Linked DNA regions of Arabidopsis thaliana. The protein of the gene in region 4 interacts with the protein of the main gene of each other region in a pairwise test. Each region holds a gene or a part of one and is shown on either strand. Other genes may lie near its edges. The genes, in order: AT3G18215, AMT1;2, SK42 and MLO15.

Evidence for each region.
Region 1: the proteins of MLO15 (region 4) and AT3G18215 interact in a protein complementation assay, tested with the Arabidopsis thaliana proteins (one large-scale study listed by BioGRID).
Region 2: the proteins of MLO15 (region 4) and AMT1;2 interact in a protein complementation assay, tested with the Arabidopsis thaliana proteins (one large-scale study listed by BioGRID).
Region 3: the proteins of MLO15 (region 4) and SK42 interact in a protein complementation assay, tested with the Arabidopsis thaliana proteins (one large-scale study listed by BioGRID).

What each region holds. Positions count from the first base shown.
Region 1 is NC_003074.8:6,238,999-6,243,930, reverse strand, and holds AT3G18215 (transmembrane protein, putative (Protein of unknown function, DUF599)), read right to left. Parts: upstream 3,163-4,932; 5' UTR 2,964-3,162; coding exon 2,799-2,963; intron 2,547-2,798; exon of another isoform or gene 2,143-2,546; coding exon 1,573-2,142; 3' UTR 853-1,572; downstream 1-852. Other genes in the region: AT3G18210 (2-oxoglutarate (2OG) and Fe(II)-dependent oxygenase superfamily protein), read left to right, coding at 3,535-3,867, 4,135-4,182, 4,270-4,446, 4,520-4,670, 4,775-4,861.
Region 2 is NC_003070.9:24,060,116-24,064,810, forward strand, and holds AMT1;2 (ammonium transporter 1;2), read right to left. Parts: upstream 2,690-4,695; 5' UTR 2,451-2,689; coding exon 906-2,450; 3' UTR 525-905; downstream 1-524.
Region 3 is NC_003070.9:21,430,481-21,438,440, reverse strand, and holds SK42 (shaggy-like kinase 42), read left to right. Parts: upstream 1-2,337; 5' UTR 2,338-2,564; coding exon of another isoform or gene 2,565-2,604; exon of another isoform or gene 2,605-2,928; coding exon of another isoform or gene 2,929-3,014; exon of another isoform or gene 3,015-3,071; 5' UTR 3,072-3,188; intron 3,189-3,468; exon of another isoform or gene 3,469-3,472; 5' UTR 3,473-3,563; coding exon 3,564-3,704; intron 3,705-3,832; coding exon 3,833-3,925; intron 3,926-4,010; coding exon 4,011-4,070; intron 4,071-4,144; coding exon 4,145-4,417; intron 4,418-4,788; coding exon 4,789-4,863; intron 4,864-5,433; coding exon 5,434-5,490; intron 5,491-5,569; coding exon 5,570-5,710; intron 5,711-5,801; coding exon 5,802-5,852; intron 5,853-6,034; coding exon 6,035-6,130; intron 6,131-6,597; coding exon 6,598-6,681; intron 6,682-6,795; coding exon 6,796-6,898; intron 6,899-6,994; coding exon 6,995-7,079; coding exon of another isoform or gene 7,080-7,083; exon of another isoform or gene 7,084-7,230; coding exon 7,231-7,303; 3' UTR 7,304-7,390; downstream 7,391-7,960. Other genes in the region: PUP17 (purine permease 17), read left to right, coding at 1-839; AT1G57906 (F-box protein), read right to left, coding at 1,631-2,191, 2,565-2,604, 2,929-3,014; AT1G57860 (Translation protein SH3-like family protein), read left to right, coding at 7,614-7,850. UniProt on the Arabidopsis thaliana protein: May mediate extracellular signals to regulate transcription in differentiating cells.
Region 4 is NC_003071.7:18,244,737-18,250,487, reverse strand, and holds MLO15 (Seven transmembrane MLO family protein), read left to right. Parts: upstream 1-2,028; 5' UTR 2,029-2,171; coding exon 2,172-2,288; intron 2,289-2,395; coding exon 2,396-2,453; intron 2,454-2,541; coding exon 2,542-2,762; intron 2,763-2,887; coding exon 2,888-3,004; intron 3,005-3,183; coding exon 3,184-3,244; coding exon of another isoform or gene 3,245-3,249; intron 3,250-3,342; coding exon 3,343-3,437; intron 3,438-3,541; coding exon 3,542-3,616; intron 3,617-3,708; coding exon 3,709-3,797; intron 3,798-3,877; coding exon 3,878-3,927; intron 3,928-4,030; coding exon 4,031-4,071; intron 4,072-4,154; coding exon 4,155-4,364; intron 4,365-4,462; coding exon 4,463-4,530; intron 4,531-4,606; coding exon 4,607-4,667; intron 4,668-4,768; coding exon 4,769-4,999; 3' UTR 5,000-5,131; downstream 5,132-5,751. Other genes in the region: AT2G44120 (Ribosomal protein L30/L7 family protein), read left to right, coding at 71-259, 363-460, 544-601, 777-856, 943-1,261; GDI1 (guanosine nucleotide diphosphate dissociation inhibitor 1), read right to left, coding at 5,624-5,677.

The DNA.
Region 1 (4,932 bases), on a different chromosome or scaffold from region 4:
TTGGATATGTAAATTTTGCATTAGTCATGCACACACATAACAATGTTAAAATCGATCTTTGGATTCGACCAACATAACAAATACAATTTGTTTATTTGGTATACTATTGTAGAGGCAAGGAGATTGGATGTATGAAAATAGAGTAAAAGTTCTAAAATTGGACACAAAACAGAAGATCGACGAAGAATAAAATATGAATGATTTTTCTTCTTAAGGCGACCACTTACAATGTAACTTTATTTGTCTCTTTTTTTTATTATATACATACAAAAAAATTTAATTTTTATACTATTTGTAGTGTAACACCTGAACCATGGTCAAAACCAAACCCTTTTACTTTGAGTGAAGAAGAAGAAGAATACATTAAGAATTAAACCCAAGAGATCACATTATATATATATATATATATATATATATTATTTTTTGAGATCACATTATTACATAGTAGACCACTATTATTTCAATTATTTGTTTGCATTTACGCGAGCATTTATAACATGAAAACTCAAAGGAAATTGTTCCATGAGATATCATCAAAAACACTCGTTAATAACATAAAACTCTTGAAATTCAACGAACAGCCAGACACAACAACAGACCAACCATATTAACAAGAAAAATAGACAAATCATCGTCCAAATGCAAAAGTAATTTGTCTCAGCTGGCCAGCCAACATATAGATTGTAGAGAGAGACAACAAAGTAAGAAGAGAGAAGATGGGTCTCGAACTTTTTTTGGTAGGCTAATAATCTTTTAATTAGGCCCAGCCCAGTCTAGAAGTTTCAAATCCTTAAAAAATATTCGGAAAACCCCAAATCTTTGGTGCTTGCTTGAGTGTCGCGCTTATTTATTCCTGCATGCTCAATCTGTCCGGAGTCCGTCAGGTGCTTTAGGTTTTTCTCTCTGTCTTCTCCGATTCTAAGAGACGTGGGGGAAATGAGCCAATTAGAGGTACCAGATTCCATGAATGAGTTTAGATGATCCATAGTGGATACGAATGCAATGAGATCTTGTATGATCTCTTCGCCTTCGTATCCGATATCGGATCACCTAAAGACATCCCCATTGTCTTATTTTCCGCCGTCACTGCCACTCCAGCTTTGTAACGTCTCTTGGCATTAGAAGAAGAATCGAACTTTTGTCCTTAAATCTTAATAAAAGGTTTCATTAATGTACTTATCGAGCGTGAGCCTTTTTGTGCGTATCTAGTCATGTTTAAACAGTTTGAGGCTTGAACATTTCGTTTATGGATTTTACTCAATCCTGTGGAAACAAAGCAAGAACAAAATTGTTTTAAGGCCTGTGTGAATAATAACAATTCTTCTTAGTTATCCAAACCTAAAACCAAGAACAGAAAAAGCTAAAACCATTACTTTCTTCAGTGATGAACATACTTAAGATTGTTTGTTTGCGTTTAGGTAGGCGTTTGCGTTTTCATCTTGTAATGTTTTCTAATCATTGTAACATGAAAACACAAACGCATACATAATTGCAGACAAAGTTGTTCCATCACATTACAAAAGACACCGTTAACATATAACTCTTAATACACAACAAAAGTCAGAGAAGAATCTACAGAGTATGAACAGCTGATTCGATTTCGCCGTCCATTGAATCAGCCGTTTCTCTGAACGATTGGCTATGAAGATGCCTGGTAAAACTAGTGGTCGTGTCCAAGAAATATAGAATCGAGGACATCATACAACAGCACACAAACATCGGGATTGGCCCGAAGGTCCATAAGAAGAGAGGGAAGGAGAAGTAGAAAGCCCGTAATCCGAGAGACCAGAAGTAGCTAGCTCGGTTCAGGTTTCTAGACACGTACTCGCAGTGCTCTCTTTTCCCTCTTGAGACAGGCACTGTGACTAGGAAACTTACGTGAGCGTAATACCTGATTGACTGGATGTTGCAGAGAAAGGCCATGAGGAAACAGATCAGGATTGCAAAGTTCTTGAATGACGCTAAGCGAGGGCTTTTGCTCCCGTATATGAGATTTGTTGCCGTGGATTTTGAAGATGACGAGTTGCTTACAAAGACGCCGATGATGGAACATAAAGTGATTGCTGTTGTGGCTAAAAGGGTTGATGCCATTATGTTGTTCCGGATTGTCTGAACAGCCAAGGTACCATTTTTCAGTGGTTCCTGGAAATAACAATAGATAAACTTATATCATCTACTGCAAAAGAACCAATACTGAGAGCCAAGACCACCGATAATTCGGATCTTAACGGACAGACACACGACTGTGTTCTTGTTTCTCATGTCTATGACTCTGTTCCTATCCAATGAACCTCATTAACTAGCTCCAAGATTCTAGCTGAAATATGCGTAGAGTTGTGAACTATAGGGATCTGTGATGCATATCCTCCATGAACAAGAAGAGTTCTTGAAAAATGTCAAGCTTCCAAGGAAGATAGCCAACCGTCTATTATAACATTGATTCTACTAATGAAGATTCACATCTAACATCACTTGACAGCTCCAAGACTTTGCTTCTCCTAATCTCATCATCTTTACTCATCATAAACCCTGCTCAATTTTGCTACCTGATGTTTGAAGATCCAAATATTTATGGTTTACTAGTTTTTAGTTGACTTCGAAAACTTCAGAATCATGAAAATTGAGGATAGGAGAGCCGTAAGACTCTCAATACCCAATTCCTAAAATCACGAACAAAGCAGCTCTATTGCCATAAACCCTAATCTAGACCCCAAAATCTCCAGAATCAGAAATACCAAGAAAATCCCAGAATGTCACCAAAAGAGGAACAATAGAAATGAGAAGAGAAAAAAACATACAGTCATCATAGAGAAGACCCATTGTCGTCGAGACTCAGCGTTGAGAGCGATAACAGTGAGCTTGGGGCGGTGAAGAATAGCGTAGACGAGCCAGACATGGTAAGCAACCATCACGACCAGACCCGTCGGCACAAGCACTAAATCCAAAGATTCCTCCGTCCACATTTCTACTTCGCCGCAGAGATACTTTCAATTCGTACGGTTGTTCCGTGATCGGAAAGATCGATGGCGGCCAAAAGATTTTGGCAGAGGCAAGAGACGAAAAAGCACCAAGCTTTGAGAGCGAAAGCTTTCATTCACACGTGTGAACTTAACAAACTCCAGAGGAGACTATCGATATCTCTCACGTGTTAACCAATAACGCACTAACAGACAACTCAAAGTCGAATGATTTCAATTCCACGATTATACCGGTAATTTCAGTTTAAACCAAATAACCGGTTCGAATTATTTAATGGGCCGCCTAATAGATGGGCTAGAAAATCATTTAACTCTTCTTATAAGGCGTATGACTGGTGGTTTCGTGCGTAATATTAACAAATAAATAAAAGATAAAAAAATCTTCGAGGGAACATTCAGAAACCCTAACTTCAACGGGAACTCAAAAATCAGAATCTCCAGATCGAGAGCTTAAAAAGTCGATTTCAATTCCCCTTTAAGATTTTTTGCTTTTGGAATGTAGTGTGAAGAAGAAACCCTAGTTTTTTCTCACTTGAATTCTCTGCCTTCTTTAGTAATGTCAAGTGAGCAGCGAGAAGGTTCGCAAGAGACGACGACGACGACGGTGGAAGGTAACGGAACAATTGCAGGTCAGAATTCTCATTCGGCGGCTCCCACGACATTGAGAGCTACCTCTACGATGGTTTCTTGCCAGAGACTAAGGCTAAACCCTAACAACGAGCATAGACCCGATAGTTATGAAGATCTGCAGCTTGATTTCCCAAACTCGGTATATTCTAGTCTGGAGAAGTACTTGCCTCCGAATATGCTCGTCTCGAATCGTGATGAGAAAATCAAATTCATGACTGATATTATGCTTAGGCATCTTCCTCATGGAGAGCGTTCCAGAGTAAGTACTAGATTTGGACCTTTCTCTCTTGAATTTTGTTTTTACTTGTATTGATGACTGTGAATTGCTTTAGAAGCTACACTTCATTATGAAAATTTGAGCTTTTGCTAATTGCTACTATGAACTGGTTTCACTTTTAGTTAAGTGGTTATGGAAATTTCAATCTGGTTAGATGATGGTTGGTAGAAGATATTGCATGAATGGTTTGAAAATGTCAATATGAGCTCAAGAGTTTTATTAAGTAGTTTTGTTTGGCTGATGCTACAGGCTCAAAGGCACAGTGACTATAGGCTGAAGATTACAACAAATTATCAGGTGTGAATCCTTTCTTGAGCTTTCTTGTGTTCTGTATTGCTCTGCTCCAGTCATTTGTTAGTAGTTTGAAGTGTTTTTCTACTGCAGCCACTTCACAAGGAGTTGTATACTCTAGTTCCCACAGTATGTTTCGTTCCTGCTTTCCTTAAGGCGATAAATGAAAACACAGAGGAAAGCTTCAGAAATATAATATCTGAACCGTCTCCTGGTGTTTTCGTCTTTGACATGCTCCAGCCTAGCTTTTGTGAGATGATGCTAGCCGAGGTAATGTGCATCCATTTTTTGTTTTTCTCTTATCCTTCGTATTTTGTTCATTTGCTCTTGTTTGACCATGCAGATAGACAATTTTGAAAGGTGGGTGGGTGAGACCAAATTCCGGATAATGAGACCAAACACCATGAATAAATACGGTGCTGTGCTTGACGACTTTGGTCTAGACACCATGCTTGACAAACTCATGGAGGGGTTTATACGTCCCATCTCTAAAGGCAATATATTTTTAAATCCATTACATAGTCTATTATTGGAAAGTCTGTTTAATATGTTCACAGTGTTAAAACTAAAAAGCTACTTCGAATCTTTTGTTTTGCAGTATTCTTCAGTGATGTGGGTGGAGCAACTCTGGACTCTCACCATGGTTTTGTTGTTGAATATGGGAAAGATAGGGATGTTGATTTAGGTGAGACCCTTTGACATATCCTGTATAATTTCCCATGACCTGACTAGTTGTCCTAAATGCAGATATATTCC
Region 2 (4,695 bases), on a different chromosome or scaffold from region 4:
TAAAATTCTAAATAAAACAAACATCTAGGTGGGAGCTACTCAGATTTGTATGTAGTATATAAGATCAACTTTTAGTGGTGAATAAATGGGTGATGATAAAAAGAGAGGACGAGAAGACAAATGATAAAATTGAACGGTAATTTATGGCAAATGGGAAAAAGGATAAAGTACATACGAGGCTCCGGACCATCCGTTTTCTAAAGTAGTAATATACTAATATAAATATATTTATATTTTCATATTTAAAATATTAGTTATTCAGAAAATTTGACGACCAATCAACAGAAAAGAATCATTGAACCAATGGATACCATGGAACTAGCTAGAAGCCTAGAACCATAGGTTATGATATCAAATCCCGAATCATGGTTACGTATTATGTGGTTTGAACAACAACAAAAAAAAAGGTTACATAGTTTTGTGGTGATAACATAACCGATAAGTACCCAAGACAACTTTCTTATGATCAGTATGTGATAATTTGATAAGCTCGTCCACAAAAAAAAAACTCGTTTATAATAAAACTCGACAATTCTGATTAATTTCCGTTGGTGATTATTGATTAACATTCTAACGTTCATTTTATCAAAACAAAACATGCTATCGTACAAGATTTTTTTTTCCTCTCTTTTCTTAACATTTAAAATGTCTCAAGACCGCTCAAATTCCAATGTTTAATTTTGATACCAAACGTTCACTTTAATTAAAAAGACATACTGATCATGTTATTGTTAACAGTTCCACACTATCTGTCCACAACAGAGCGATAACCAAGAGAAAAAAAAAGAAGAAGAAGAAGACCAATAATACACAAAGATGCGTCCAACATGTTTGGTGCCCGAACTCTTGTCTTCACCACATTAAAACTGACTCGTTTGGGACCACTCAATTCTCCAATCAAAGTATCAAACAGTCAAGGTCGGTGTAGGAGTCGAGCTCCGGCTTGTAGGCTCCACTCTTCCAGCGAAATGACCCCATGGTTTAGTCGACACGTCGTCTTCGTCATTGTATGCGTAAGCAAATCCTCCATGACGTGTCATGTCCATTCCTGCCATCTCATCTTCTGCTGATATCCTCAAAAGATTCATCTTATGTAACCCATAAAACAACGGTCCCATAGTTACCGTCACCCACCCAACGATCACAATAATCTGAACGATCTGCGCGGCGAGCAGTTTTCCTCCCCCGCCCATGAACAGTCCGTAAGGCCTATCACCGGAGTAAATCTCGTTAACGTATTCTTTCCTTGCGAACAGCCCGGTAAAGATTAATCCCCATGCTCCACATCCACCGTGGAGCTGAGCAGCCTCGAGTGGGTCATCATATTTAAGTTTCTTGGCAAGCAAGTTAAATCCGATTAAAACCCATGATGCCACAAAGCCACATACTATAGCAGCCCACGGCTCCACCACGGCACATCCGGAGGTTATAGCTGCAAAGCCGCCTAGAAGTCCGTTGCATACGTCAATAACGTTCCAATGACCTGCTAAAAGCCGTTTACTGAATAGAGTAGTCAACGCAGCGGTGCAGCCAGAAAGCGTTGTGGTGACCGCGGTGCGACCTACAGCGCTCCATTGACCATAATATGGCCGAGACTTGTCGTAGCCTTTAAGAATGGTTAAAAAGGAACCAGGGTTAAACCCATACCATCCAAACCACAACAAGAAGGTACCAAGCACGACAAGGGATGCACTGTGACCACGTAAAGCCACGGACCGGCCTGACCGGTCAAATCTACCTATTCTTGGTCCTTCAACTAACGCTCCACATAAACCGGCAATTCCACCTACCATGTGAACAACTCCTGAACCTGCGAAATCAATAGCACCTGAGCCAAACAAGAGATTGTTGTCAGACCGGGACGCGCTAGCCCATCCATCACTTGACCAGAACCAGTGCGAGACTGTCGGGTAAACAAAACCGGTCAAGAAAGTAGAGTAGATAAGGTAAGCAACGAATTGCGTTCGCTCGGCGATGGAACCGCTAGTGATTCCGGCCGCGGCTATGGCAAAAGCCCATTGGTAGAGGAAAAAGCTGAAGTCGGAGCCGGGGCGTTCAGGGTAAGAGCTTAAAGCGAAGAAGCTATGGTGGCGACCGATGAATCCGTTGGAAGGTGTACCAAAGGCGAATGCGAATCCGAAGAGGTAGTAAGAGATGGCTCCAGCGGCAGCATCAAGGACATTGGTAAGCATGATGTTCATAGTGTTCTTGGCTCGGACTGATCCAGCACAAAGCATAGCGAAACCGAGCTGCATGGCAAAGACAAGGTAGGCGGAGAAGAGGAGATACGTGTTGTCGACGGCATAAGTTGTGTCGGAGAGTTTGTTGGAGATGTTTGAAATTTGGGAACATAAAAAGGTTGCCGCGGCGAGGGAAGATGTTGAGTTAGAAGAAGAGGATAGGAGGGCAGATAGATCTACGGCAGAGCATGTGGTGGTTGCGGTGTCCATGGTGGAGAGGGAGGGAGGGAGAGATAGAGAGAGGGTACTTGATTGTGGAACGTGTTTGCTTAAGTGAGTACTTGTGGTGAGAGTGTCTTTGGTGTATTTAAAGTGGAAAAAAGCATATTTATTTCGTTACATCACAAAAAGTTGCGGTACTACTTACTCTTCTTCTAGTTGAGGTTTTAAAAGAAGTTTTCTGAATTTTAAAATTCTAGGTCTCTGGTTTAAGTTTTTTTAAACAGTAGTAATCAAACTAAAATAAAATTAATAAATTTGTTTTGGTATAGTTTTGTTTTAGTTTCTATTCAGTTTTGAACATATTTAAAGTTAATTTTTTAAAGAAGATTTTTTTATTTTAATAAGATATTTAATCAGTTTTTGTGTGCAATTAATTTTGGTTATACGAATAAAAAAAGAAAAAAGAAAATTCTTATAATATTTCGTTTAGTGTTTGAATCGTTTATTTTAGTATGACAAGGAATCGGGTCAGCATTTGTTTATGAGAAACAATTAATTAAACATCGCTACATAGAAGTACGACATTAAAGAACAAGTTCAAGCATATGACGATATGATTCTTTTAAATGAATTTGTATGTCTATTTTTCCAACTCAATATTTTATATGAACTAGTTAATGTTCTTACAAAGGAGAAATAATTTATTTTTTTTGACGGCACGATTCAAAGGAGAAATAATTTGATTTCTTTTTTGGAATTAAAATAATTTGAAAAATGTAATTTTTCGTTTCGTTTGTATCGATGAAGTCAATAGTTGATAGATCATGAATGATGTATCATTTATATGAATGTGATATAGGGGGCAAGGACGATCACTCAAATAGTTATAAAATTATCACGCTAGATTAAATATAAAAATTATTTTCAACTTGACTACAACTACTTCACAACTGAATACGTAATTCGACTTGAATAATAGGCATTATTTGATGCTGTGTGATTTTTAGCGCCATTTATTTTTGTATTTTTAGTTAATCAAACAAATATGTTGTAATTTGAGGTACCGATTTCACATAGAATTTATATTGCACTACGTATTAGAGAATAAACTGTTAAAGCTACAAACTATATATAGGGTTCAATTTTGTGATTACAGGAAAAATATATATGCAACAAAGGAAAGATGAACAGATTCAATAGTAAAATCGTATTAGGTTTTCACGGAATCACAGTGATAGTAGGAAATCACGCAACAAAGAAAAAAACAAAATGAATGGACATATGAACAGTGAAAATGTTTTTATATTACGTTAAATGTTTTTAAAATGCGATTTATGAAAAAATGGGTAAAAATAAATGCGATTTATGAAAAAATGGGTAAAATTAGAGTGTTATCAGCAAGATCCGATCCAAAACCAATTGTTACTATGCAGGATAATGCGAGATGGGCATTCGAGTCAGGTTCTGATAAAATCCGATCGGGTACAGGTTTTTTTGGATAGAGAAGTTTAGGATCCAATAGAGTAATTCTAAAATATCGGTTTGATTTTGGTTCGGGTCCAATCGGGTTCGAATATAGATTTTCAGGCCTTTTTTGGAATCGATACCCAAATTTTCGAATAAATACCCGGATTTTCGGATTCGGGTCGAATTCGAATTCGGTTTTTTGGTAGAGAAATTTAAGACAAATAAGATAAATCTTCGAATTCGGATCTAATTTTTCGGGTCGGTTCCAGTTTGAGTAATCGGTTCCGGTTTTTTGCCGCCACTAAATTTGCTAGAGTCAAAATATGGTAAAAACTGCCGCAAAAGTGAACCGCTAACCACGTGATTAAATACACTTTTCTGGTAAACAATATAACTTTGACGGTCATTCAAATGCTGAAGGACGTGTTGCTCACTAGCATAGTTTATGTCATTCTACACAAGAAGATCTAGTCCTCGTAGCTTCCAAAAATTTTCTTTTCTACTCCTGGAAGATAATCGTTTCTTTTCATCCTTCAAACTTACCAAACGTTTATACGATTAACATAGGGTTTTGTCTCCAGCGATTATTTGATTTATGTGTGCTTTTGACTCTTGAAAACTTCTTCACGTTCTCTGGCATTACGTATGAAGACATAATAAAAAAAAACTCTATTGCATTTCTCCATTACTTTTTTTCATCTCAACTTAGATAGTTTTTCAATTAAATTTATCTGATTATATTGGTTTATCAACCTTTTTAATCCTACGATTGGTGGGGATTATAATATAGTAATAAACAGAAAAGATAAATCCTTAACGAAGATAA
Region 3 (7,960 bases), on a different chromosome or scaffold from region 4:
CTAGTTTCCTCTCCTTGCGTCTCTTCTTCCTTTACTTATCTCTTGGTGTTCTTGTTGCTGCTCACAGCAAATTGTTCGCACTCGGGAAATTAGTCTCAAACTATGGCATCTTCTCATTGATTTCCACAACACAGTTGATATTTACCGCTGTTTTAACAGCCATCATTAACCGTTTCAAGTTTACTAGATGGATCATCATATCGATATTACTCACTATTGTGATTTACGTTCTCGGTACTCCTGACTTTGGAGGACAGCCTCATGACGGCGAAGAATTCGGATACAACATCCAAGCTTGGTTAGCTTTCTCTGCTACAATTGCTTTCTCATTATCTCTTTGCTTAATCCAACTCGGGTTCGAGAAACTCCAAGTGAAGACCAAGAGATATGGTAACGAGAAAGTGTTTAGAATGGTCTTAGAGATGCAAATATGTGTCGCTTTTGTCGCCTCGGTTGTTTGTCTCGTGGGCTTGTTTGCGAGTGACGAGTATAAGGAACTGAAAGGCGATAGCAAGAGGTTTAAGAAAGGGGAAACGTATTACGTTCTGAGTTTGGTCGGGTTGGCTTTGTCGTGGCAGGTTTGGGCGGTCGGGATGATAGGTTTGGTGCATTATGTTTCGGGTCTTTTTGGTGATGTTGTTCATATGTGTGCTTCACCATTTGTGGCTTTGTTTGTTGTCTTGGCATTTGATTTTATGGATGATGTGTTTAGTTGGCCTAGAATTGGTGCTTTGATAGGAACAGTTTTGGCGTTAGGATCTTACTTCTACACTCTGCACAAGAGAAACAAGAAGAAGATGGCGGAACTTAACCAAAGTGAGAACAATGTTGAAGTTTAGTTTCTCATGTCAAGTGTTTGTCAATCTGTTCTTGTTATTCTGATTCTTGTAAGTCAATGTCCAAAATATGTTGTATAGATATGGATCAAACTATGTAATTTATTTATTAGTTGGTTTAGTTTGATTTTTTTCTTTTCTCTGTTTTGCATTTATTTGTTACAATACTTTGCTAGAGGAGTGAATCCCTATATATTTCTCAAGTAGACTTGATTGTTAACATCTATGGGGCATCGAGACACCAATAAAGCCACATCCCACTTGATGATATAAGCTGCACCAAGCTCTTATGCCTTTAGGCTCGTACCTTTCCTATATAGAATGCAACGTAAACGTCTTCCCCAAGCAACTCAAATCCAGAGGCTGATGAGAAGAAGTCTTTTATATGCTTATTTGTTTTGTATATCTTCCATGGGTGATCATTCCTCTGCAAGTGGTTTATTACGTCGATGAAAGCCAGAAATATACCAATAGGCCATGCACATTTCGGTTACAGAAGTGGCACTCTTCATATTACTAGCTGGAGAAGAAAGGTTTTCGATAGAGCTTAACGGAAATGGTAAAGTATGGTATGAGATAGAGATAATGTTATCACATTTCTTGTCACTCCTCCAATATCCTTAATATAAAGAAAGTAGCTCTAGCCTAAACAAGATTCAGAGAAACCTAGGAACAAACATTTGGAAACAACTCTGCTCAGAACCAAACATCATCAAAGTACTACCATCGTCTAGCTTAAACACCTTAACCTCTACTTCCTTTTCATGGACAAAGTATATAGAATTCGGTACGCATCAATAGTACTCATGAGCCATAACCGAGAAACAAGTATCAGTCGCCATCACAACCGCACTATCTCTCAAGGACTTAACTTCAACCCACTTCCCTAATTCCTCATCAACCTTATAAACATTGAAACCAACCATTTTGGGACATTCTATTTCCACCTCTTGGTCCACATTGCATTTTTCATTCCCAAAATCGTCATGTATCACATTAGAAATCCGAGGAGCTACACCAACATAAACATTATCATCCAAGTCCAAGTAATCAGCTTTTCTTTTCAAGACATTCTCTTTAAAAAGACGATCAACAATATAAAGCTCTCCACAACATGCAACCAAGCTTAAGTCTCCACCACATTCATTAGTAAGTGAAGTTCCATACCTAACGATACTAATCCACCAAACAATGCCTTTCGTATCCAACACGTAAATTAGCTCTTTGAGAACAATAATATCAGAGAATTCACCAATCTGATCTTTGATTCTAGTCCAAATCTCTCCATTCCAAAACCTAATCTTCCCATCAAACCCTATTCCAAAAACTCGATCTCCTCCCGCAAGAACAACTTTCTTAAACCCAAAAGCAATGGACCATTTCGGTTTAACAATAGATGTGATTTGGTTTAGCTTATCAATTAATTTTTTTATTTTATTTTAAAATAAATATATATTTTAATTCTTTTATAAATCTCTGATTGGTTGGTTAATTAATTGTTTGTATTTCCCTTTTACGAATTTAAATAAAGTAGATGTTACAAAAGAAAATGAAAATCTCTGAAAAACTCTCCTGATTCAAAAGAGTAAGAAATCTACAAAAGAAAACCACAGAGAAAATCTCTACTGATCAGTTTCTCTCCATTGGTGATCGCTCGTCAGAAAAATTGAGCTCGATTTTGTATAAATTGAAGAAAAAGAAGAAGATCATCAAATGCGTGATTTTTACTTTTCCGTTCAAGGTAAATCGATCATCTTCGGCTTCAAGCCTGAAGATAGCGCTTCGAATTGGTTGAATTGTGTAATTTTGGAGGAAGTTAAGGTTCTTGCAGTAACAACTGCTTTACTGATTTTTCTGGTTTTTTTTGTAATTGTAGAAACTGAGTTTAAGGACAAGCTTTGTCCCTTTTAGTGGAATTTAGATCTGGTTTTGTCGTAATTTCTTCTGGGTTTCAATTCTAGTCTTCTGTAGTAGTATCAGTGTTGTGTTATCACCCACTATTTCAAAGTTTCAATGAAATTTTAATACCAAGTTGTTGACTTTTCTGTGTTTCTATCTGATCATAATTAACTTCGGAAGAAATTATTGTGACCTCAGAAAATTAGGTAGCTGATTTGATTCTTTTGTTTTCTCAATTATTCTCTTGTTAATTTCATTGTTCACATAGAAATGGTTCATATTTTCTGCTAATATGTTTCCTCTTTCATTTCAATTCACCATATTTCTTCTTTGTAGTGATTGATCAAGGGAACATAAGCAGCTAGAGACCACACCACTCAGTTATTTCTATCTCATAGTGCTTGTGGATGTTCAAGCTATAAGAATGTGCTCGGTGGTTCTATGAATATATAGGTATTATGCGTTATGTTTGGTTTGTAGAATATATTCTGAGAAGGTGATAGGATGGTCGATTTGCTAACTTTATGTCACTTCTGAAAGTGAGTTTGCATGTTTCTCTTTTCTCTTAAATCTGCTTTAAGTGTTAAGATATTTTGTTTTGAATATATTTGGAAAAACCAGTGACTTTGGTATTCTGTTAGCATGTTCCAACGATCTAAATTCTGTGGGTATATACTCTGGTAATTGCTTATACTGTTTTTGCTTTATGAAAACGATTTTAATATTCTACTAGGAAGATTGGTGTTTTGATGGGATGGGACACCAAATTGCTAAGGTTTATGGTGTTATCAATTACTAGTACGTGTTATCTTCCGAACAACCACCACCATGGAATCTCATCTGGGAAATGGAGTAGGCAGTTCGAGATCTGCCAAAAATACAAAGAACACTTCTAGTTCAGTTGATTGGTTGAGCAGAGATATGCTTGAGATGAAGATAAGGGACAAGACAGAGGCTGATGAGGAGAGAGTAAGTTTTGCATCTCCTTTCTTAGGTCTTTATTTCTTTGTGAACTTCTTTAGCTTATCTTCCTTCTCATGCGCCCCTCTATTTGATGAAGTAGTTTACTTGAATTTGATGTTTTTGCCATGTTGCAGGACAGTGAACCAGATATCATTGATGGAGTTGGTGCAGAACCTGGCCATGTGATCACAACTACACTCCCTGGACGAAATGGTCAATCAAGACAGGTTAGATGGTCATAGAAACTGTGTGTCTAGATTGTTAGTGAGACGTACTGATTCTTATACAACTGTTTTTAATTTTGATTGACAGACAGTCAGTTACATAGCAGAACACGTAGTCGGGACTGGTTCATTCGGAATGGTTTTCCAAGTGAGTAAGATTGTCTATCTTGTTGTTTTACCATTGGTTAAGATTCCCAAACATTTTATGTCTCCTTGTGGTAGGCTAAATGCAGAGAAACTGGGGAGGTTGTTGCCATCAAAAAAGTTCTACAAGACAAGCGTTACAAGAACAGAGAATTACAAATTATGCAGATGCTAGACCATCCGAATGTTGTTTGTTTAAAGCATAGCTTCTATTCAAGAACAGAAAATGAAGAGGTTTATCTAAATCTTGTCCTTGAGTTTGTTCCCGAGACTGTCAATCGTACTGCCAGAAGCTACAGTAGAATGAACCAGCTGATGCCATTGATATATGTCAAACTCTACACTTACCAGGTGATTATTTCCTGTTTCTGATCTTTTTTTGTTTCTCTTTATGTAAGCGTCATAAGTAATCACTCAAAATTTAAGCTATATTCAGTTTCTTGATATGTGTCAGCTGGTTTCTTGTGGTTCATTCCATAATGGATGTTGGAGATTTCCTCTTGTTTTGCTAGATAGATTGTAAACCAGAAGGCAAAGTTCCTATCATTTCTGATACTATTGTACTTTTCCGTTAGAAGTTGGAACTATTGAACATAATTGATTGTCTCTATATAAAAGAAGTAGTGCTCAAACGTTTGTTGAACACTTAAGTGTGAATCGGGCCTGATAATTTGTTGGACATTCTCCAATGATTTTTGAGGATTTTATGTTAATGGCTACAGATTTGCAGGGGGCTTGCTTACCTTCATAATTGCTGTGGTCTTTGTCACCGTGATATAAAGCCCCAAAACCTGCTAGTAAGTTCCAATTTTTTCTCACTGAAAAGAAGTTGATGATAGATTTCACTTTCCTGTAAGCTACTTTTGTTTGAATTTTTTTTATATAGCAAGGTCTTTGTCACCACACATAAGGATTTTAAAGGCATTTGTGTACATAAATATCAGACAGTGTTCTTTAATTCTACAAATTTGATCATTATATAGTAATGACATGATGATATTTCGTTATTACATGCCTGGTGGGATTAAGCAATGAGGTTATGTATGCATCTCGCTAATGTTTATTTCAACCTCAGAGTGGTACTGGGCTTCTGTTCTGTAGTTAATTTCACTTGCTATTTGTTCAAGTAGGATGTTAAAATCTAACTTTTCGGAAAATAGTTTTGGTTTTTAGCTGGTCTGTTCGTTGGTTTAAATATTTAGAATCCTATTTTCTTGTGATTTCACAAGGATTGAACTTGTTCCATACTGTTTCAGCTGTTAGGCTCACCATACCTGCAATTGACTAGAATTTGTCATAAACAAATGTTGCCTTGTTTTTATTAAACAATCTTTTATTTTTTTCTTTACACCTATTGTGATGTGCAGGTGAATCCACACACACATCAGCTGAAAATTTGTGATTTTGGGAGTGCAAAAGTGTTGGTAAAGTTTATCAGCTATAGCTCTTAGTGGTTTAGTTTTCCTAGTCCATGCTTAGATTATGACGTGTCATGGTCCACAGGTGAAAGGAGAACCCAATATTTCTTACATTTGTTCAAGATACTATCGTGCCCCAGAGCTCATTTTTGGAGCCACCGAGTACACAACTGCAATAGACATATGGTCCACAGGTTGTGTGATGGCTGAACTGCTGCTTGGACAGGTTGGAGCACTATATTTGCATTAGCTATATGCTTGTTATTCTATTTCTTCACCCTCTTACTCATTTTTGCTCTCGCGGACTTGTTTTACAGCCTCTGTTTCCTGGCGAAAGTGGAGTCGATCAACTTGTTGAAATCATAAAGGTAGTATTTTTGCTATCAATTCTTTTAGGGTTAGTTGTATTTACAAAGAAAATGACATCTTTAGAGCTGGCACTGACTAATAGTTTCTCACTGCTGATTATATTTTTTTTATAAAACTTTACCACCATTTTTGTAGTAGGACTCGTACATTCTCTCTTCATGGTTTTTTAATTGTCATGCAGGTTTTGGGTACACCAACAAGGGAGGAGATCAAATGCATGAATCCAAACTACACAGAATTTAAATTTCCTCAGATAAAACCTCATCCTTGGCACAAGGTATACCGCTAGTAGTATCAATTATCACCTAATAGGGTTCTCTTAATCGATATATGACCAAGCTTGTCTCGGTTTAGTGAGGTTGATTGAAGTATATGTGATCAATTAACTTCATATTTCATTCCTCTGGCATATAGAGCGATGTGACAGCTTTGCCTTTGTATATAAGATTCTTATACAAACAAATAAATTGAACCTTTGCCAAAAGGAATTACTCATGCACACACTCGTGGGGGTTGAAAACAGTTAGGCTTCATGATCTTGGCTTTTTTGCTGGTTTAAGTTTCTATCTAGATGAAGTTTTATTCAGCATTTTATACAGCTGACATTCCAGAACTCTGTTACTCGTTATTCTTATCTTTTGTTTTGCTCCGTGCTAAAATTTCTCTTAAGTGATCATTTCCTTGGTTTTACTTCTATATAGTCATGTTCTTACAGCACAAGAATCATGTGTTTGTTACTTTCAGGTATTCCAGAAACGTCTGCCACCTGAAGCAGTAGATCTTCTTTGTAGGTTCTTCCAGTATTCTCCTAATTTGAGATGTACAGCGGTAAATTATTCATAGCTTTTCTCTGACTTTGTTACATATTCTACTTCCATATTTTTTTTGGGATCAGCATCAGAAGCTAACCCATTATAAGTATGTCTTATGATTTTCTGATAGGTGGAAGCTTGTATCCACCCTTTCTTTGATGAGCTAAGAGACCCAAATGCTCGTCTGCCAAACGGCCGGCCACTTCCTCCGCTATTCAATTTTAAACCACAAGGTAAGGTTCTGTTATTTGCTTCTTCTTTTTTCCGTGTTAAATTCTTTATAAGGGAAGAAAATTAGTATGTGTTATTGATAAGCGTGTGTCCTACAGAACTCTCTGGTATCCCTCCTGAAACTGTGGACCGACTTGTCCCAGAACATGCCCGTAAGCAGAACCACTTCATGGCATTACACTCGTAAGTCTCTTCCGTGTTTTCTGTACGACCTATCGGGTGTTCTCTTCTTTTCTCTAAGCTCTCTAGATCCCAGTCTTTGGGAAAAACCAGTAGAGCTCTCTCTCTGTAAACAGAAATCACTGGAAAAAGAAGCAATGACTTTTGTATTAAGGTGCTTGCGCATCCCTTGTCGTGAAGTGAGGATGCGTAAAATACAACACTACTTTGTTAGATATATGATATAGAGGAACATACTTACATTTGCAAGACTCCTGCCACAACACAATTTTCCAAAAAATTTGTGAACCTTAAAATGAATTGACAGTTTAGTTTATTTGTCCATGTTTACGAACTTGATTTGAACCATATTACTCGAATTACACCAAACCAATTTATCTTCGAGTTAATTTCAAATAAGGCATTTGTTTTACAAAATAAGGCTTAAATATTGAAGGCCCAATAAGACCATGTACACAAAAAGCCTTTTAAACTAGTTTCACCTCTCTCTCCCATTTTTAGGGTTTCGTCAGAGACAGAAGTGAGAGAGGAGGAAAAATGCCGGCGGGACACGGAGTGAGGGCGAGAACAAGAGATCTGTTCGCGAGACCATTCAGGAAGAAGGGTTATATTCCACTCTCCACTTACCTCAGAACCTTCAAGGTCGGCGATTACGTCGATGTCAAGGTTAATGGAGCTATCCACAAGGGTATGCCTCATAAGTTCTACCATGGTCGTACTGGTCGCATCTGGAATGTCACTAAACGTGCCGTTGGTGTTGAAGTCAACAAACAGGTTTGATTACTCAAAACTTTTAATCTGTTTGAAAGAGTTTTTTGTTGTTGAAATTAGGGTTTGAAATTGATTTTGATTCTTTCATTTGGGGTTTAATTCGTCTTTCTGTG
Region 4 (5,751 bases):
GTTCAATTTCTCAAAGGTGTCTTTTTTATTTGATTAGTATAGCTTATTTTTGGTTTGTTTATGGCATGCTATGTATGTAGGAGAAATGGCTGAATCCAAGGTAGTGGTTCCAGAGTCTGTGCTAAAGAAGATCAAGAGGCAAGAGGAATGGGCATTGGCCAAGAAAGATGAAGCTGTAGCTGCTAAGAAGAAGAGTGTTGAGGCCCGCAAGCTTATCTTCAAGAGAGCTGAGCAGTATGCCAAAGAATACGCTGAGAAGGTAATAAAGCAACACTCTTTTGTTCATCTTTGCTGACTAAGATGACTGTTCTGTTCATGGTTGTTGTAATGAATCATGATATATTATTTGCATGCTTGTTTAGGATAACGAGTTGATCCGATTGAAGCGGGAGGCTAAGTTGAAAGGAGGTTTCTACGTTGACCCTGAGGCTAAGTTGCTCTTTATCATTCGTATCCGTGGGTATGTGCCTATTATTTGTGTGTTACATAAGTTGTTGCATATAGATTCTGTTTTTTATTTACGTGATTGTTTGTCATTTGCAGTATCAATGCCATTGACCCAAAAACCAAGAAGATTCTGCAGCTCCTGCGTTTGAGACAGGTAGGTTTCACAGTTTGTTATTTTCATCCAGCTATATTAGCCTAACATATGATTATTGATTAATATTTGTTATATGTTCAAACTAATATGTGATAGTTGCCTGTTCATCATTTTTAAAAGAGAGTAGAAGACTATTGCGTTGTCAAGAAGTTTACTTTCGTATACATTTGTGCAGATCTTCAATGGTGTGTTTCTTAAGGTGAACAAGGCAACAGTAAACATGCTGCGCCGAGTTGAACCATACGTGACTTACGGGTATGCAATCTGATTCTCTCTCTTTCAATAGGATTATGTAAACTAAACTATATGCTGCTCTAAACCGAATGATATATCTGGTGCAGATACCCAAACTTGAAGAGCGTTAAGGAACTGATCTACAAAAGAGGTTATGGAAAGCTGAACCACCAGAGGATAGCACTTACTGACAACTCCATTGTGGATCAGGCTCTCGGAAAGCATGGGATCATCTGCGTTGAGGATCTCATCCACGAGATCATGACTGTTGGACCTCACTTCAAGGAAGCCAACAACTTCCTGTGGCCATTCCAATTGAAGGCACCACTCGGTGGCCTTAAGAAGAAGAGAAACCACTACGTCGAAGGTGGTGATGCTGGAAACAGGGAGAATTTCATCAACGAGCTTGTCAGGAGAATGAATTGATGAAAGCTTCCTTCTTTATCTTTGCAAATTTCAAAGATTTTGGGACCGAGTTTTTTTTTTTTTGTTCAAGTTATCAGAGACTTGTGATCTTTTATCCGAGATAGGCTTTTTATGACTAATCATGTTATTTTCCAATGGCGGGCTTTTAAATTGATCTTGAATTTTTATTGGCTGTTAGATTGTTCCTTCGAAGCCCACCAATCCATTAGAAATATCTGGTTTTGACCGGTTGATTAAATAATTCCGGTCGAGCTGTATCAAAGATAGAATGCTCTTAACCGGAATCGTTGACTTCAAGAGTACAAGCTGTTCTCCATTTTTTTAAAGAGATTATATCGGTTGTGCGAAATTGTCCAAATTTTGTTTTTATAGATTGACCGATCAAATATTGTAGCGGTTAATTCGTTAAAATAAAACGTTTGATCAGTTACATTTGATTAATTCAATATCAAGTCAAAATTTTATCTTGTTAAAGGAAAAAGAAAAAATATTGGGTTTAGACCTTTGACAAAGGAAAAAAATGGGGACTTAAAGAGTCTAATTAGACCTCAATTAACAACTCTTGGTGGCTCTATAACATTAGTAATTTCTATTTAGGTTGTACATTGTAACTATCCAAAACTCTAAATAAAGAAAATTACAAAACATAGAGGGGACAAACACACACTGACACCGCATACATTACACATTATATAATGTGCATGAATACAACCTACACTTTCTAGTAAAGAAATGAAAATGAATATAACCTACAAATTTTAATATTTAAAGACACGTTCTAAAGAATAAGATCGCCGGTTTAAAACAATTACCTGGTCATCATTTTGGATTAAACTCATTAGGCATTCATTATATAATTGCACCAAACAAGAAGGGGATCAAGAAAATCACGAATCACCGGAGCAAAAAAATGGCGGGAGGAGGAACGACCTTAGAGTACACACCAACTTGGGTGGTTGCTCTCGTCTGCTCCGTCATTGTCTCTATCTCTTTTGCCGTCGAGCGTCTCATTCACCGTGCCGGAAAGGTTATATATTACATATTGGCTCCTTGTGTTTATTTTATATGTATGCATAATTCATTTAGACGTTGTAGACTAAATGACTATTATGGATCTATGCATGAGGAATATAGCACTTTAAGAACAACGATCAGAAGCAGCTTTTTGGGGCATTACAAAAGATCAAAGAAGGTGACTTCATGTTTTTGTTGATAAAAAAAAAGATCCATCATGTGATGATATCATTTGTTCTAATAGGATTCTTAAAATTTGGAAACAGAACTCATGCTAGTAGGGTTCATATCGTTGCTATTATCGGTCGGCCAGTCTAAAATCGCAAAGATTTGCATATCAAAGGAGTTAAGTGAAAAGTTTCTCCCTTGTACGAAACCTGCAGGGGCTGAGAAGTCCCTTAAAGACTCCTCCCATTTCCAGTTCAGCTTCACCGGCCGTCATCTCCTCGCCGGAGATGCCCCCGCCGGTGACTACTGCTCCCTAAAGGTATTCTTATCTTTGCAAATCTTTTTTTGACTTACACGTTTTATTTGAAGACGTGCGTAGAATTAACATAAATTTGTCTATAATATGATATCTTTTTTGAATCTTTTTGTTTGTTTTAAATTCAGGGAAAAGTACCAATAATGTCATTATCAGCTCTGCACGAGCTTCATATATTCATCTTCGTATTAGCTGTTGCCCACATTATTTTCTGCCTCTTAACCATTGTTTTTGGTACCATGAAGGTATTTTCTTAATTACACCTTACTTAACAATAAATCTTTTTTTTAATCTTTATTAGTTACGAGATATCACGAACAAATATAAGCTAGTGATAATCCTAAACTCTAAAACCGGACAACTTCTATTCGCAGAATAAGTTTTTTATTGTGTCTAATGATTATAACAAAATGTTATGGCATAGATAAAGCAATGGAAAAAATGGGAGGATAAGGTTTTAGAGAAGGACTTCGACACAGACCAAAGTATAGTACAAAATCTTGTTTCAGGATCTTGAGAACTTTTCATTAATTATAGTCATTTGTAACGTTAACAAGTCTTATATATACACATATCTACACAGTGATCCAGAAGAAATTCACACACGTTCAAGAACACGAATTCATCAGGTCACGATTTCTTGGGGTTGGAAAAGCTGATGCTTCCTTGGGATGGGTGGTGAGTGTTTTTGTTTTCTCACAACTTATCTTACTTGTAATTAAAGACATGTTTGTATGTGTATATGCAAGTTTTTGAGTGATATGTGTTCTTTTCCTTTGCAGCAATCGTTTATGAAACAGTTTCTTGCGTCAGTCAATGAATCAGATTACATCACAATGAGGCTAGGCTTTGTCACGGTATATATCTTGGATTTTTGATTCGTCCTTTGCTTTGTGTTTATCTCTACTATAATGTCTAAAAACAACTTTTTCTATTTGATCTTTATAAGACTCATTGCAAGACCAACCCAAAATTCAATTTCCATAAGTATTTAATGCGTGCCCTTAATTCTGATTTCAAGAAAGTCGTCGGTATCAGGTAAATAATTTATAGTTTTTCCAAAAACCAATGCAACATAGTGTTCTTGATTCTATTCTAATGTATATATCAAATTGCAGTTGGTACCTTTGGGTATTTGTGGTTCTCTTCTTGCTTCTAAACATTGTTGGTGAGATACTGAGATGACATCTTTTAACTTTGATCCAATACAAAGTTTTCTTCTCTTCTTTCTTTTTTCGGTTGAATGATCATCGACTCGATATTTCTTGCAGCATGGCATGTTTACTTCTGGCTAGCTTTTATTCCTTTGATCGTAAGTCCCTGAAAACCTTCTCAAAGCATGTCTATGCTTCAAACCTATCTAAATCAACTCTTTTTACGCGGTTTTCTCCTCAGCTTTTACTTGCCGTGGGGACGAAGTTAGAGCATATCATCACAGATTTGGCTCATGAAGTTGCAGAGAAACACATTGCTGTGGAAGGAGATTTGGTTGTCCGACCATCAGATGATTTGTTCTGGTTTCAAAGTCCCCGGCTAGTTCTCTTCTTGATCCATTTCATTCTTTTCCAAAACTCCTTCGAAATCGCCTACTTCTTCTTTATCCTTGTAAGTACTCTTTACCATTAATCGATCTAAACCAATAATCTAGAAGATATCAAGATACGTACAGAGAAAAGTGAAAACTCATGCAATTGTAACAACAGTTTCAATTTGGTTGGGATTCATGCATCATGGATCATGTCAAGTTCGTAATTCCAAGACTCGTCATCGGGTAATAATAGCCAAAGCTACTTAATATCGATCTTGTTATGAGCTTCTTGATCTTGAAATGTGAAATATTTTTGCAGGGTAATAATTCAGCTTCTCTGCAGTTACAGTACCTTACCGCTCTATGCACTCGTAACTCAGGTACAGATTCTACATCTCTTAGTCAATTTTCTTGTGTTCTTATATCAAACTAGACCAAGACACAAACTCAAAACCAAACCTTCTAATTTTTTGGTGAAAAGATGGGAAGTTCATTCAAAGGTGCAATATTCAACGAGCAGACACAGGAACATCTTGTTGGATGGGCAAAAATGGCTAAAAGGGGAGTGAAGAAAGGCGCAACACAAGTAGGTACCAGTCATGATGCTACTAGTCCAAGACCGTCTATTCAGTTGAACTCCTTGCTAGGAAAAGGCTCCTCTCAACAAAATCAGAACCCCAAGGAAAAATCAGAGATTGCTCACCATGATTAACAAACAAAAACTTGTTCTGACATTTTTTTTGTTGTTGTGATTTTTGATTTTTTGAACTTGTTCGACTTTGTTTGGTATATATAACTGATTGAAAGGCGTTGTAACAAATAAACACAGCAAAGATGCTGAATCTGTCTGCCAGTTTGATCAAACAAGATATGTGATTTCTACAGAGCCGTTTATAATGCTCAATTTTGTGTTCGTTTATATGATTTTAAACTGACATGTGAAGAAAAACAATCTATGTCGGTTTGAAGAACAAAATAATGGTTTGTGTGTATTACCAGTCATTTAATATGCTTAGTTTAGTTTTGCTATGCATTTACTATTCAACTTGTTAAGCAACGACTCTCTACGAAACGATTGAGACGATAATTGTTCAAACGGAAGAGCATGATGATATATTAGACACTCCAAACAAAAACCACGAAATCCAACATTTTAGTTTTTTGAGAAGAAAAAAACAGACTGCGATAACCGGGAATAGGTACGCATGATGAGATCGGTTTGATTTAGTATTTTAACAGAACATTTGGTGAGACAACTTTTAAGAAGAGGGAGAAAGAGAACCGGTTACATCATTTGGTGACTAACAGAGAGAGACAGAGCTTGCAATATTTTCCATCATTCCTCCTCTGCAGCACTAGCTGCGTTAAGATCCACACTTAGATCCAGTTCCTGCAACACAAAACAATGATCACTCCCCAATTACAGAATATGTCGCCGTCAATTAATAAAAACCGATATATTTG